2 linked regions of the Arabidopsis thaliana genome follow. The protein of the gene in region 1 interacts with the protein of each later gene in a pairwise test. Each region holds a gene or a part of one and is shown in the gene's direction. Other genes may lie near its edges.

Evidence for each region. Proteins that work in one complex are often made in the same cells at the same time.
Region 2: the proteins of AT3G25790 (region 1) and ERF4 interact in binary tests that used the Arabidopsis thaliana proteins (3 or more experiments, as listed by UniProt).

The regions. Positions count from the first base shown.
Region 1 is NC_003074.8:9,409,424-9,418,351, forward strand, and holds AT3G25790 (myb-like transcription factor family protein), read left to right. Parts: upstream 1-3,628; 5' UTR 3,629-3,772; coding exon 3,773-3,917; intron 3,918-4,021; coding exon 4,022-4,317; intron 4,318-4,638; coding exon 4,639-4,858; intron 4,859-4,971; coding exon 4,972-5,048; coding exon of another isoform or gene 5,049-5,087; exon of another isoform or gene 5,088-5,192; coding exon 5,193-5,528; 3' UTR 5,529-5,817; downstream 5,818-8,928. Other genes in the region: AOC3 (allene oxide cyclase 3), read left to right, coding at 1-185, 457-986. UniProt on the Arabidopsis thaliana protein: Probable factor involved in nitrate and phosphate signaling in roots. Integrates nitrate and phosphate starvation responses and adaptation of root architecture, depending on nutrient availabilities.
Region 2 is NC_003074.8:5,119,447-5,125,273, forward strand, and holds ERF4 (ethylene responsive element binding factor 4), read left to right. Parts: upstream 1-1,975; 5' UTR 1,976-2,025; coding exon 2,026-2,694; 3' UTR 2,695-3,116; downstream 3,117-5,827.

The DNA.
Region 1 (8,928 bases):
CTCTCGTAATCATCAATCTCACCGCAGTTCTCTTCTTGGTTTCTCAAGATCTTTCCAAAACCTTGGAATCTCATCTAACGGTCCAGATTTCTCCTCCCGATCAAGATCTACTACTTCCAAGAACCTCAACGTTACTCGAGCTTTCTTCTGGAATTGGGGCAAGAAGACCGAAAACTCCAGACCAAGTAAGTTTAATAGTTTATAGATCCTTTTGTCTTTTAGTACACTGCGACTAAGTCAACGCCTGTTAATCCGATATTTTTCCTAGATTTGAGACAAATCAAGATTTAAAGACTAATAATCCTTTTTGTTAGCTCAGAAATCAAAATGCTTTATTTCATAAGCAAAATCGATTAGATCTTTAAATGCCCTGCTCAAAATTGATTGGTCTAAAAAATAATCAGATCTTAAAAAAACAAAGTACCGAATTCATAAATTCGAGTTTTAATTATTCAGGTAAGATCCAAGAACTAAACGTGTATGAGCTCAACGAAGGAGATAGAAACAGTCCAGCAGTTCTTAAACTCGGCAAGAAACCAACAGAGCTTTGTCTCGGAGATCTCGTCCCATTCACAAACAAACTCTACACCGGCGATCTCAAGAAACGCGTGGGAATCACGGCAGGTCTCTGCGTTTTGATCCAACACGTTCCTGAAAAGAGCGGTGACAGATTCGAAGCTAGTTACAGCTTCTACTTTGGTGACTATGGTCACTTGTCTGTACAAGGACAATACTTGACTTATGAAGACACGTTCCTCGCTGTCACTGGTGGCTCTGGAATCTTTGAAGGTGCGTACGGACAGGTTAAGCTTCGTCAGCTTGTGTATCCGACAAAACTGTTCTACACTTTTTACCTTAAAGGGTTAGCTAATGATTTACCGCTGGAGCTTACTGGAACGGCGGTTACGCCGTCGAAGGATGTGAAACCGGCACCGGAAGCTAAGGCGATGGAGCCTAGTGGAGTTATAAGTAACTTTACTAATTAAGTAATTAGCTGTTTAATAGTTGTTTTGTTTTGTAATAGAATATTTTGATGAGTTGTGTGAGGTTAGTTAATGATGTGTTGAGGGAATAAAGTATTTATTTTGATGTGACTTTATTGATTACAACTGGTCTTTCTACAACGTGGAACTGTTGTACTCGATTTCAAAGTAAAACTTTTTACATTAGTTTCGGTATTTTCACGGAATAAATTGATAGCTAGAACCTTTAATCTTATGGTTTAAAATGGTACACTCATATACACAGTTAGGGTAGTGGAGTTAATGCTAGTAATTAGTAACACAATATTTTTTGGTTCGTTATGGTTTTGGTGTTAATTGTGTTAATGTCATAATGCTTTAACGCTAATTTGTTGTTGGCACAGATATTTAAAACTAAAAAAAGCAACCTAGTTATTGCTGGCTATCTTTTTAAATTGAGAAGTTAACATCTTGTCAAGTGAATCGTGTAATATTGTTATACTCTAAAGATCGATATTATTGTGTCTACCAGTCAAAACATGTGTTGGAGGGAAATTTTATTTGTAGGTTCATCATATGTCAGGAACATTATTGTCATGTTTCTGTAAGCTTTCTGACATTTAAGTTCAGATTTTGACCATAAGTTTTGATCATAAATGAGAAAAGAACAAAGTTAAGTTTAGTTTTGCGAATGTTAAAAAAAATAAATATCTTATTTGCACTTTTTGAATTATTTACCAAATATAAAAACCAAGATGGTGTTTTTTTTGTAATACCAAAAAAGAGAGAATTTTAGCTACGAGAGAATGCAAAATTCGGATTTGTGATCCGTTTTATTGAAAAAGATTTTAGTTTCATAGAACATATATCAAGTAGTATACAAATTGAAAAATAGGGTCTGATAGATCCGAGACACTTGGGTATTATCACCTAACTTTTAAACGTTTATGCCAGTTTTTTGACAAACAAATCACGAAGTATTTGAGGATAAATACAGTATTTGTTTATGTTTTCTATCTTTTTTTAGGAGGATGAGTTCATTGGTTTGATCTTAAACAATTGAAAATTTATAGGTTACCACCAATTTTGCGATTTTTTTTCTTCTTCTATACTTTAGATTTAAGTTTATATATAGATATTTTCGTTTGATATCAATATGGGAAGCCCACAAAGTTGGGGAGTTTAGTGGTACCTTTTTTTTTGGTTCACAATTGCATACGAATATTGGGGAGTTTAGTGGTACTATTGCATACGAATATTGGAGATACGAGAAAGGGGTGGAAAAAATTGATGATAAATTGAGCCCAAGTAGGAAACAATACACAAGGCCGTATATAAAGTTGGCATGTTGGGTTCAATACATGAGGCCGTCTTTTTGTTCGGCCGCGGCCAGTGGTGAACACTGAATATGGCCTTTTGAGACTCCGAGGGGACAATTATAATCCAACACTAAAATACATCTCTAAACTCTATTTGCCAACTAATTTCTTTATTTAAAATACGTTTCAATCTAATCAAAACAGATAAGCCTGTTAAACACAATTTTGATTTCTCGAGACTACGAATAGGTGGATCTATTTGTATCATAACATCATAACATATAAATCGATATTTAAAATTTTGAGTAATAAATTTGATGTTGGTCTCTAACAATTTGCGGGTAATTTCTTGATATTTTGGACATCACCCGAACATATTAGCTCATTACACACCAATTTCTATAGAGGCAACATATTTTCTTATCATTAAAGTTGACAGCTATTAGAGCCCTTAATCACGTTTGATTTCATATCTAATTCCAAATTATATGGATATAACAACAGCATAGCATATAAATTGATATGTGTAGCATTAGGTTATATCTTTGACCGGGAAATGCATTGGCAGGCCATTATACTGGGAAGATGCATTCGCATATATATTAGTAGGTGTACTTAGTAATCGTCTACTTGACATAATTAAAATTACCGGTCAAAAACACGAGATATATAGGAACTCATATTGTGTGGATATATATATTAGTTTACATGTGTATTTATGGATAAGGTTATAACGAATTCAACAAATTCTCAAGGTCCTATGAAATTTCAACAAGTATATTACAGTTTTTTTTTTATATATGGCTTTTCTTCTCCCATGTTTCGGCTGTCTACGAAGAGACATTTGGCTTTTCATATTGGGATATTGAAAAATACATTTTCAACGTTTTATATATGATTTTGTGTGGGTGAAATTAATACTTACAGAACAAAAGAGCTCATGCACGTTTAGTGTTATTTTGGCGGCTGTTTTTAAGGATTTGCATATATTCTTTCCCACGTATTGAATTCTATAAATGACATAATAATCAAACTTGTAAAAATAATAGAATGAATAGTTTATAGTCTTCCAAAATTCGATTTCTGTTGTAGTGGAATCGCAGACATTTTCTAACTTATGAATGTTGTTATAGGACTTCTTTAAACCTTGGTTGGATATACCCAAATAAATATAAAGTTCACACGAAAAAAACTTGGAATCACATCCAGGAATATTCACCACTGGATCAATACTACTATACAACAAGGGAAAAAAAAATATTTAACTTGGGAAGGTATATACTTATTTTATAAACAAAAGCAAGATTCGCCTTGTAATGCGACGGCCCGACTTCTCTCTTTCAAATAATGATCCTTGAGAAACCCTATAGAGCCATATATACGTTGTCTTTATAAAGAGACATAACTCATCTCTTCTTGACTAACTTTATAGTTAAAGTTATCAATTATTCGAAAACAAAGCTGGTTTTTTGTTTTGTCCCTTAAACCAGCATGATCAAGAACTTAAGTAATATGAAGAATGACAATCAGAAACGTGAAAAATGTTGCGAGTACATCGAAGCTCTCGAAGAAGAACGTCGCAAGATCAATGTTTTCCAACGCGAGCTTCCTCTTTGCGTAGAGCTCGTGACTCAAGGTACATACATATGCATTTACATTTCATATAAGATATAATGAGTTTATATATATGGATTAAATGTTAGATCTAAAGATTTTTAAAAAATGTTTTATGGAATTTAGCGATTGAGGCGTATAAGAGGGAGATATCAGGGACGTCGACGGATAACTTATACGGACAGTCGGAGTGCTCAGAGCAGACCACCGGAGAATGTGGGCGCATCTTGGATCTGTTCATACCAATCAAACACTCTTCGACCTCCATAGAAGAAGAGGTTGATGACAAAGATGATGATGATGAAGAACACCAGTCTCATGAAACCGACATAGATTTTGATGACAAGAACATGAAATCTGAATGGCTCAAGTCTGTTCAGCTCTGGAACCAATCCGACGCAGTTGTTTCTAATAATAGACAGGTAAGATTTTTATTTTATTTTATTTTTTCTTTGTTTACATTTGTGTTTTTGTTTGCCTTGAATTACATTTACTGTATTGTTTCCAAACCAGCCTATTGACGTTGTTAATTGTTAACGTAAAGACTAAACGCATAACCTTCTGTGTACTTTATGCGATTGTGTTTGTAACTTACAACTTCACAAATAGATTATTCTTTTTTCTTCCAGTTTTTGTTTTTTTTAATAGACCGAAAAAGGATGGGTGCACAAAAAGATAGTAAATTGCTCACAAAAAGATTTTGTTTTGTAATTTAAGTTTCTAATAGCATTTTGCGTATTCAGGATCGCTCACAAGAAAAGACAGAGACGCTGGTAGAGTTGATAAAAATAAACGATGAAGCAGCGAAGAAAAACAACAACATAAAATCACCGGTGACTACTAGCGATGGTGGCAGTGGCGGTGGCGGTGGCAGAAGAGGGCAGAGAAAGAATAGGCGGTGTTGGTCGCAAGAGTTACACAGACGCTTCTTGAACGCTCTTAAACAACTTGGTGGCCCTCATGGTGCGTTTCTTGGTTTTAAGTTAAAACATATATATCAGTAGTCATATCTTTTTGTTAGGGCTCATGAAGTTTAATTAATTCGTAATGACCTTTTTGTTCACTAAATTTTGAAGTAGCTACGCCGAAACAGATAAGAGATATAATGAAGGTTGATGGGTTAACAAATGATGAAGTCAAAAGTCATTTACAGGTTAGTAAATCATATTCCATGAAAAATACATGTAACTAATATGTAAAAGGTATATATTAATTTCATCATTTTAGTTACAAATGTTTTTATAATTTAGAAGGAAAATAATATTTATTGTTTCATATTTTTTTTAATGATAAATAGAAATATAGGCTGCATGCAAGACGGCCAAGCCAAACAACACCGAACAACAGAAACTCTCAAACGCAACATTTCGTGGTGGTTGGTGGAATATGGGTCCCACAGACTAACCATTCAACGGCCAACGCAGTCAACGCCGTCGCATCGGGTGAGACCACCGGGATTTATGGGCCTATGGTCAGTTCGTTGCCGTCCGAGTGGCCGAGGCATTCCAATTTTGGTAGGAAGATTTCGGAAGATAGATCAAGATGCTCTAACAACGGATTTTTTCGGTGTAGCTCACCAGCTATGTCTTGTTCTACTCGTACAAAGACGAAAGATGCAAAAATAATATCATAAATTTAATTTTTGATTATTTATTAAGAGAAAAAAGTTATAGACATTAATATTGTGAAGAGTGTATATATATAGATGTTGGAGCGTGACTCTATGTTATTTTTAGTTTCTTGGTTTTTTTCTATTAGCCGATGATATCTTTGATCAAAGATCCATATTAGCTAATGCATACTATATTTTTTTACGTCGTGCAATATGCATATCGATGATAATAAGTTAATAACACAAAATTATTAGATTACTAGTTGAAGAATCGTATATAGAAAGAATCGTAATTATATGTAGAATGATGGTATATTATCAGCATATATTTTTATAGAGGCTTTAGCCACCAAAATTAATAAATGTCAGTCACAAACTCAAATTAATTAATTTCGTCCTTAACATATGTATGTCGGCCAGGTTTCTATTTGCTATAGTAATATAAGATACACAGAAACATTGTAGAAATGTAAAATGTCTTCGAAAACAGAAGAAAAATACATATATAAACTTTTTTGAATGAAAATAAAAAAAATTATGCCATACAGAAGGATCGGAACTCGGTAGAATATGCCGGAATCTGAAGAGCATAATCTGCAAATATGTTTTTCAGGTTAAACTTTATTCTCTTGTTGCTTGTACTGGATATTAACACAAATGTGCACGTTGGGCTCCTTCTCGTGGAGTGAATTATTCTTTATTTGTTCCTTTTACTTTTGTAAATACAATTTTTCCATATAAGTATATAACTGTGTAAATATTAAACCCAAAATATGTTAAAAGACAAGTTTTTTTGTAACTTAAGGGCAAGAAACAAGGTGTAAAGCCACATGAAAATTGCTGACCATTCTAACTCTCGACACTACTATACAATTAATATCTCTTGACTTGTACTCATTCTCTATAACAACAACAATTGTTGGGTTTTCTTGTTCGCTCTCACTGTTGTTTATTAAGTGTTGTTCGTTTGCGAGGTTTTCTGAATCAATAATCAAAATGATTTCGATTGATAAGTTATCCTTTAATCAAAATTTCTTGGTTCCTATGGTTTCATCACCTCAAACATAAAAAAATCATACCAAGTTGTTAAATATCTTTAAAAATTCCTACCAAGTTACTAAATAAGTGTTCACAAATTTAGGGATCCTTTCATGTGACTCTATGAGCCATGTGACCTATTTTTCTACTACCTTTATAACAAATGGGGCTACAGTTTTAATAATATTCTTACTGATAATTTAATTTGAATACGAAGACCATTGGGAAACTTGAACATTGAGAAAGGCTATTGGAGTTCCCGAGATGGCGGTTTGATCTATTTCAAATCTTCAATAATATTACTATTATCAAATACTTCTTTGATTCTATAGATGTGTAAGTATTAATAATTTAATATTTGACGATGGATCCAAAAGAACAGGAATCGGATTAGGGTTTCCTTATGATATGATTTATTAATAGATTGGAATGGGTTTTAAACTCTTAGAAGCAGGATCTTTATGTGACCTTTCAGAGTCATAAAAAGCCTAAATAGCTCTTGATACTTACTTTAAGACCATTATGAGATCAAACCATGGAAAAATAAACAAATAGTAAAGCAACAAATGCTTTTTCTTGGTCTATACTTCATTACTTCTCATATTAACTAATATCATATCCATAAGGAATATTCGACTACACCTATTATTAATTGTATAATGTTAGTTCATAATTTATCTACATTTGTGCATAAACAATTAAACATATCTCTGATTAACAATAATAAAATATATAGTACGTGCTAATCTTGTTTTAATCTTCTCTTATATAAGATTAGGATTGATCAACCAAGTTTGACATGGTGTCTTAGTCTTATAGGAGTGAAATTTTTAATCAACCTTCCAAGGATTCTTTCGTCTATCCACGATGACGAATAGGTTGAAATGGAAACAGATTTCTTTCAGTTCTATACGTGTTTGATTTTATTTTTCTTTTAATAATACAAAATAATTATCAATGAAACTATTTAAATAGTCTCAGAGCTATAAATGTAATAAAGTAACAATGTTTACTAATTTTCTAATAGCAACATGATGTTTCATTATGTTCTTTAATTATTTCTGCAAAACAAGTATCAATTTGGGATTCAGCTAACGTTGAGTGCTAGCTGCTCTTCACATTTGCACACAATTTTGGGCTAATGAGCCCGAAAAGTTTACGAAGATGGACCAAGCCCGTTTATAGCCCCCGAGGTTAAAATTCCGAAAGGTTAATTCCCAAAAACTTAAAGGTTTTGACGATCTAAATTTTGATTTTAATGAACGGAAATAGTAAATGACCTGAAATAGAAAAAAATCAACTAGATAATCTACAATTTAAAGATTTGCAGAAAATCTTGGACGATAAAACAAGATACTAACATTTCTCACAGAATAATTTTGCTATAATAATTTAAAGTTCAGCTGCTATATTTTTTTTCCTTTGTTAATTTCATCTGCTATTTATTTGACCAAATTAAATATGTTATCTTGATTTGTTATCGTACGTCTACATAGTCTCTAATTTTAAAAAACAATTGCCGTAATTTTAGTTTTTATTTAATTGAAATTTTATTTACACATGTAACAAATAAAAAAAATGATTGAAAAGAATAATGTATATTATTTTAAAGTCATAACTAGTAACATGTAAAAAAGTAGTTATACATCACTATTTTAGGCAGTCAATGGTAATGAAAAAAAAAGAGCTTATTTTCTAGACCTGCATTGTTTATATTAATTTATACATAGTTGAAAATGAGATTCAAACTATGCTTTCAATAAATAGGTGAAGGATCGAGGTCGAGGCACCATCGATATAGAGTCAGCTCGTCCTTCACCACGGCAATTTCATGCCAACATCTTGCTCAAATGAGTATTCCATGGAGAGTGATTGGTAACCTGCAAAAGAAAAAGAAACTTAAAAAGGTTTATATGTATAAGGTTCACGTCAGTGTTTGAGTGACTTAAAAAAGTTTGTGTTAGTTATAAAACTAATATCTCATGGACTGACGTAAAGTTAATTAACTCTACGTAATTGTTGTTAATATCCTTCCCATTTTTCAATCTTACCTCATTTATACAAGTGTTGTTAATTAAGTGACCGGCGGTTTTTTTTTTTTTGTATATATGAGCATGCAAAATTACTAACTCTTACTACTAAACAAAATCTCTTTACTGTATATATGAGCATGCAAAATTAGTCATTATATTTTATTGTTAGTGAAACCTAAATAAACCAGAACCAGTGATAGTAAGTTAATCAATATAATCTGAAGGTGCGAAACATCAGCACGAACCCAAATTCGAGTTTTACGTATTGCGGACGTTAAAGATAATGAACTGATTTATCAAAAAAAGAAGAAGAAAGATAATGAAGTGAAAAACAAATTATAAAATAGAGT
Region 2 (5,827 bases), 4.3 Mb from region 1:
GTAGTATCTTCTTAATGAAACGTAAAGATAATATATTTAAATAAATGAATCTTTTTATTTTCTGATATCCAGCTGATTCTGTGGCCCAAGAAACCCAATCCATTATCCATGGCGTGAAGACATATGTAGCTGTCGTAAAAGAATAAACAAAGACCAATTAAAAAAGAGCCAATTAACAACCAAATTACATAAAATTTATTAAAACTAATCTATTAATCACACGTCTTGTTCTGCCGTCAGAATGTAATTACCGTCCGTCTTTTAGGAAACAAAGAACAAAACAAACGGCGGGCCCACCGCCGTTAGAATCTCTCTCGGTTAGCCGACGCGGCCACCATTCTCTCTCTCTCTTCATCCATTCTCCACGCGTCGCGTTGACCACGTGGCACTATACATCTTTAAAACTCTTTCTATTTTATTTAAATAGCGAGTGCGTTGTGGGCCATCTTTGTTTTTCTTTGGCGGAGGGGCGGCTAAATAGCCTTTTGTTTTTATTTTAGTTTTATTCCGCGAAAGAAAAAGCAGTCAAACTCCAAGTTGAATTTGGAGCTGAGTCTACGAAGTCACGCATAACGCTCTTTCTTTCACGCGATCGCCGTCGGCACGTGTTTGGCGGTGAGATTCACGCTCGTACATGGAAACGCGGTTCCCAAGCCGCGCGTCCTCAAGGTGTTGCCACGTATTTTACATTTTTGCGTCATCCAATACTGTTCTTTGGTTTCTTCTTCTCTCTTCTTTTCAGGCGCCGCTGCTTAACTTATTTCCTAGTTTTTGAAGTTACTCTTGTCTTTAACTCACACTGCCATATAGTATGACTTTATTTACCTGTATTTTCAAATTTTTACACACATAACAGTATCTTTAGTTGTTTATTGGTCTTACAAAAAATTGGGTATTTTTTAAACCAAAAGTTTTGAGATACGAAAACAAAATTGATATGATCTGAAAAATTAGTTACTCACATATTTGTTCAAGTTTTTTTCTCAATTATGCAAGCATTAAGGTTGATCCAACAGGTTATGAGAAAACAAACTGAGTTCATTACAAGTGTACTCACTAGAGCAAGCTTGTGTAGTTATATCCTAAATCATGAGGGTAAATGGCACATGACAATTCGTAGTTAGATTAACTATATATATTAAATTAAGATGTGGGATTACATTCTTAATTCCCTCGGTTATGAAAATCAAAATCTTATCACCAGCATTCAAGGGAATACGCTGTGTAGACAAAACAGCAAACAACATGCATCTCCATTAAATGCGTCAAATACTGTACGGATTTCTTTAGTTTTTTTGTTACAAATTGTATCAAAAGTTTGTTAGTACATTGTACATACAGATAACAAATGAATTTCACTTTTTAGATAAAATAGTTTACACAAAAAAAAAAAAAAAAGACTTTGCATCCAATATTTTCCACCACAAAATAAATCATTCAAAATACGGATTGATTAAATATGTATCATAGTAAGATCTATATTTCAAAATTTATCCTTATTTCATTAAGAACTTTAATGCAAAGATTACATAGTCCAATTAATTTTCTCATTGCCAAATATTAATAATTAAATTAAAGATCCAGTGATAAAAAGTTTTATTTTAAAATTAAAGTCAATCAAATTAATGTATTTAATTTGTATCTATATTTTTGACAATGTATTCAACTTTTTAAATACATCAATAAATTCATTAATAAGATGATCAACAAAAATTGAAAACGCTTGGTGAGGTTAAAAAAGAAATGAAGGGTTGATAAGAAAAACAAAATTCTTTGAAAGAGGAAAGAAAAACACGTGGCAAAAGATAAGTGGAGGTAAAAAAGAAAACCATGAAAACCGCTGGTGTTTTGTAAGAGAAGCCGCTAAAACCATTTCAGGCTTTGACTGTTCACAACAAAGCGCCCCAAAAGGAGCGTCGCTTTTACTCTCTCTCCCATCCTATATATAAACAACTCTCTCCTTTCCTCTTCTCCCTTCAATTATCTATCACACCACCACTCTCTCTCTAATCTATCTATCCGAGAATGGCCAAGATGGGCTTGAAACCCGACCCGGCTACTACTAACCAGACCCACAATAATGCCAAGGAGATTCGTTACAGAGGCGTTAGGAAGCGTCCTTGGGGCCGTTATGCCGCCGAGATCCGAGATCCGGGCAAGAAAACCCGCGTCTGGCTTGGCACTTTCGATACGGCTGAAGAGGCGGCGCGTGCTTACGATACGGCGGCGCGTGATTTTCGTGGTGCTAAGGCTAAGACCAATTTCCCAACTTTTCTCGAGCTGAGTGACCAGAAGGTCCCTACCGGTTTCGCGCGTAGCCCTAGCCAGAGCAGCACGCTCGACTGTGCTTCTCCTCCGACGTTAGTTGTGCCTTCAGCGACGGCTGGGAATGTTCCCCCGCAGCTCGAGCTTAGTCTCGGCGGAGGAGGCGGCGGCTCGTGTTATCAGATCCCGATGTCGCGTCCTGTCTACTTTTTGGACCTGATGGGGATCGGTAACGTAGGTCGTGGTCAGCCTCCTCCTGTGACATCGGCGTTTAGATCGCCGGTGGTGCATGTTGCGACGAAGATGGCTTGTGGTGCCCAAAGCGACTCTGATTCGTCATCGGTCGTTGATTTCGAAGGTGGGATGGAGAAGAGATCTCAGCTGTTAGATCTAGATCTTAATTTGCCTCCTCCATCGGAACAGGCCTGAGCTTTTAACGGTGTCGTTTCAATTCGAAGCGCATGCGTTTCTTCTTCTTTTTGAGCTGTGAAAATTCGTTTTCTCATAGTTTTTCCTCTCTCTCTCTCTCAGTCTAAATTTATTACCAGTTTTTAGAAAGAAAAAACAGATTAAATCTGAGAGAGAAAAATATAATTTTAGCTGACATGGATCGTTATGTACATATTATTACATAACCGGAGATCTGAACTTTTGTTGTGTGCTTTTAATTTTTTGCGACTTGGTTTCACCCCATGTTGTTTCTCTATTTTTTTTACTACTTTTTTTTTTTTTGTTCTTCCAAATTTTCAATCAATAATTTGGTAATCTTCAGAATTATCTTGTCCAATCCAATTTCCGAAATTTTGATTATTACTACTTGTGGGTTGTGGCGGCTCCTTCTATTGGCTTTCCTTTTCTATCGTTACCACCAAATTAAAAAAATTGAAGGGACTAAAATTACTTATTTGACAAAACAAAATAATTGTAAGTTGAAGTATAAGAAAAACTAAAATTCAAAGTGAGATTAATAAAATGGTAGTTGAGTATCGTCGGCTTTTAACAATGGTCCAAGTTTCCAGCAGACACGCAGCCGGCGTGTGTGGGCCCTCGTTTTGCTCTCTGCGGCGTAAGTTAGAAAATTCTTTGCGCTTACGTCACTTAGTAGTAGGGTCCACTCACAGAGTACGGACATACTCATTTCTTTTCTTTCTAGCTAACTTGGAAGAGTCTTGAAGCTGAGAGTTAACACTCTTTAGGTCTGACAGAGAGAACCTAGATTTTTAATTTGATAGATTCTTAAATTTGGAAAAGAAACTGCCACAAAACAAAGATAAGATTTTGTTCAATTTTTTTTAAGAAAGATCTCTAGTTTCGTAAACAAATTTTTGTCGGCAAAAAATGGAAAAAGAGTACACAAAGTCTCTAAAGAAACAACTATGACTAGTCTAGATATTGGTTTTTTTTATCTGAAAGCTTTTAGAATATATAGCTTATAGTGCAAAATTAATTTTCTTTAAACTATGACATTGAATTGATTCGGAGTTGAATTGGACTAAACCAACATCATTTGACCCGTTAAGCTAACAATAGTGTTATTTATAGATATTCTTTTGGCCAATTATTTCTAGATGGCTGGTCTTTTTGAATTTTATTTCGTTGTTTTAAATTTGTGCGGAAAGTAAATTTAACTTGCGAAATTTTTTATTGAATGATGGCGTGATGTGTTGAAAATGTAAATATAGGTACAAAACAATGATGTTAAAAGTTTGAAAGAAAACGACGACGTATAAGAGGGTGTGAAATAGAAAGCGGCTTCATAATGAGAGGCAGAGAAGAGAGGTTTTTGATTGGATTCTTGTCTCCAACTCCGCAATCAGAAAGAGTCAATAACTATCCTTTCGTGATTCTCGTGTAGATCCAACGGCTAGATTCTATTCTTATCCACGTGTCTGGATCATACACTTTCATGTTTATTAACTACGCAAAAAAAAAAAAAGAGTGAAGCGGCACCGACGGCCAAGCAGCGCGAGTCATCATCATCCTTTTCAGAAGAGACCGAATCAGAGACGGTGGCGCCCACATTCCCATTTTTTTTAATAATATATTTATGAGAATAAGACTTTTTAGTAGTATTATTTCAAAGTCTTTGTCCTCTCAAAGAGAGTATTTATAGCGAGTAAATTATGTTTACAAATATATATATATATCTAGAAATAAAGAATGTTTTTACGCATCTTTTATCGTATTCAAATAATTTCACTCAGACAGAATAGTTGAGGTATATTTTAGAAGTTAATTTGATAAGTTAAACTCCTGTTTTTAAAAGAGAGACAATTTTGCAGAGGAAAACATTGTATGCCCGTAACAGTTCATGAAGATAAAATCACTTAAAATAAAAAAATTAATATTTACTTTTCCTATTGGTAGTTATCCAAGTAGAAGTCCACCAATTATAATTGACCTAATATGCCTTAAAAATCCGGTTCGATTGACTCTGTTAACATATTTCTTAAGTGAAAACCGGAATTTTTACAGAAGATGTGTGTGGTTGAGCATATGGCGCGTGTGAAAGTGGCATGGGATGTAAATTCCGTGTTGACGAGGTTTATGTCGGGATATTGGGTTGTCTTCACGTGCATCTCCACCGTCCGATAAAGTTTGATTCTCACTGTCTTTCTTTTCATTTCATTGATTTATTATATATTTACTAGCCTTATTTGTTTACGTGAAGGACTCCGTAAATTGAGGTAATTTCATTTTGGCCCCTCATCTCATCATCTTGTCCCAAAGAAACCCCACCTCCCACAATTTTTCAATACCAGAAACTTTAGACAATAAGATTAATTTTTACATTAAAAAAAATAAAAAGAAGAAGAATATGCAGAGAAATAGGCATACTAATTATACACATGGATGATGGGTCATGTGTAGAATTAATAAAATACAGGTTAGTTGCAGATATGGATATCAGGATCACATCTTAATTAAAAATATATTAGCATTATAATATTCGAGTGGGAATAATAATTCATTTTAAATCTTAACCAAAAATAAAATACTGAGAGACACGTGTGAAACAAGATTAGCTGCGGCGGCCGCTTTTTCTTGGTGGAACCCACACGCTTCATACTAAGGTCATCCAGAATCTCAATCCCAACCAACCAGATTTTTTCCCTCCTTTTTCTTCTCACCCGATTCGAAGTCGGCTACATAATGTATCTATATTGCTTATTTATCTCATTTCTTTTGGTCTTTTACATAGAGAACCCTATCATTTATTAATCTCAACAAAAGTATCCCAATCATCCATTTTTATGGCACACTGCATTAAAAGCTCACAGGAAATTAACTACAGATCCATTACGCACCGCTTCAATATTAGTTTCAAAAGTAACATCATTCACCGGCATTTCATTAATTGGAGAAGATATTTTTCTCCTTGAGTAAATTTATTACTCGAGTACAACACGCATAAACAAATTCAATAAGATGGTTTTTGTATTAGATCAGTTTTCAATCGAATTTTCTTTTAACTATAAATAATGATTAGTAACATTTATCAATCCTAAGTTTCTAAGACTACGAGAGCTTCATAAAATTTTGCACTAACAAAAATTGAATT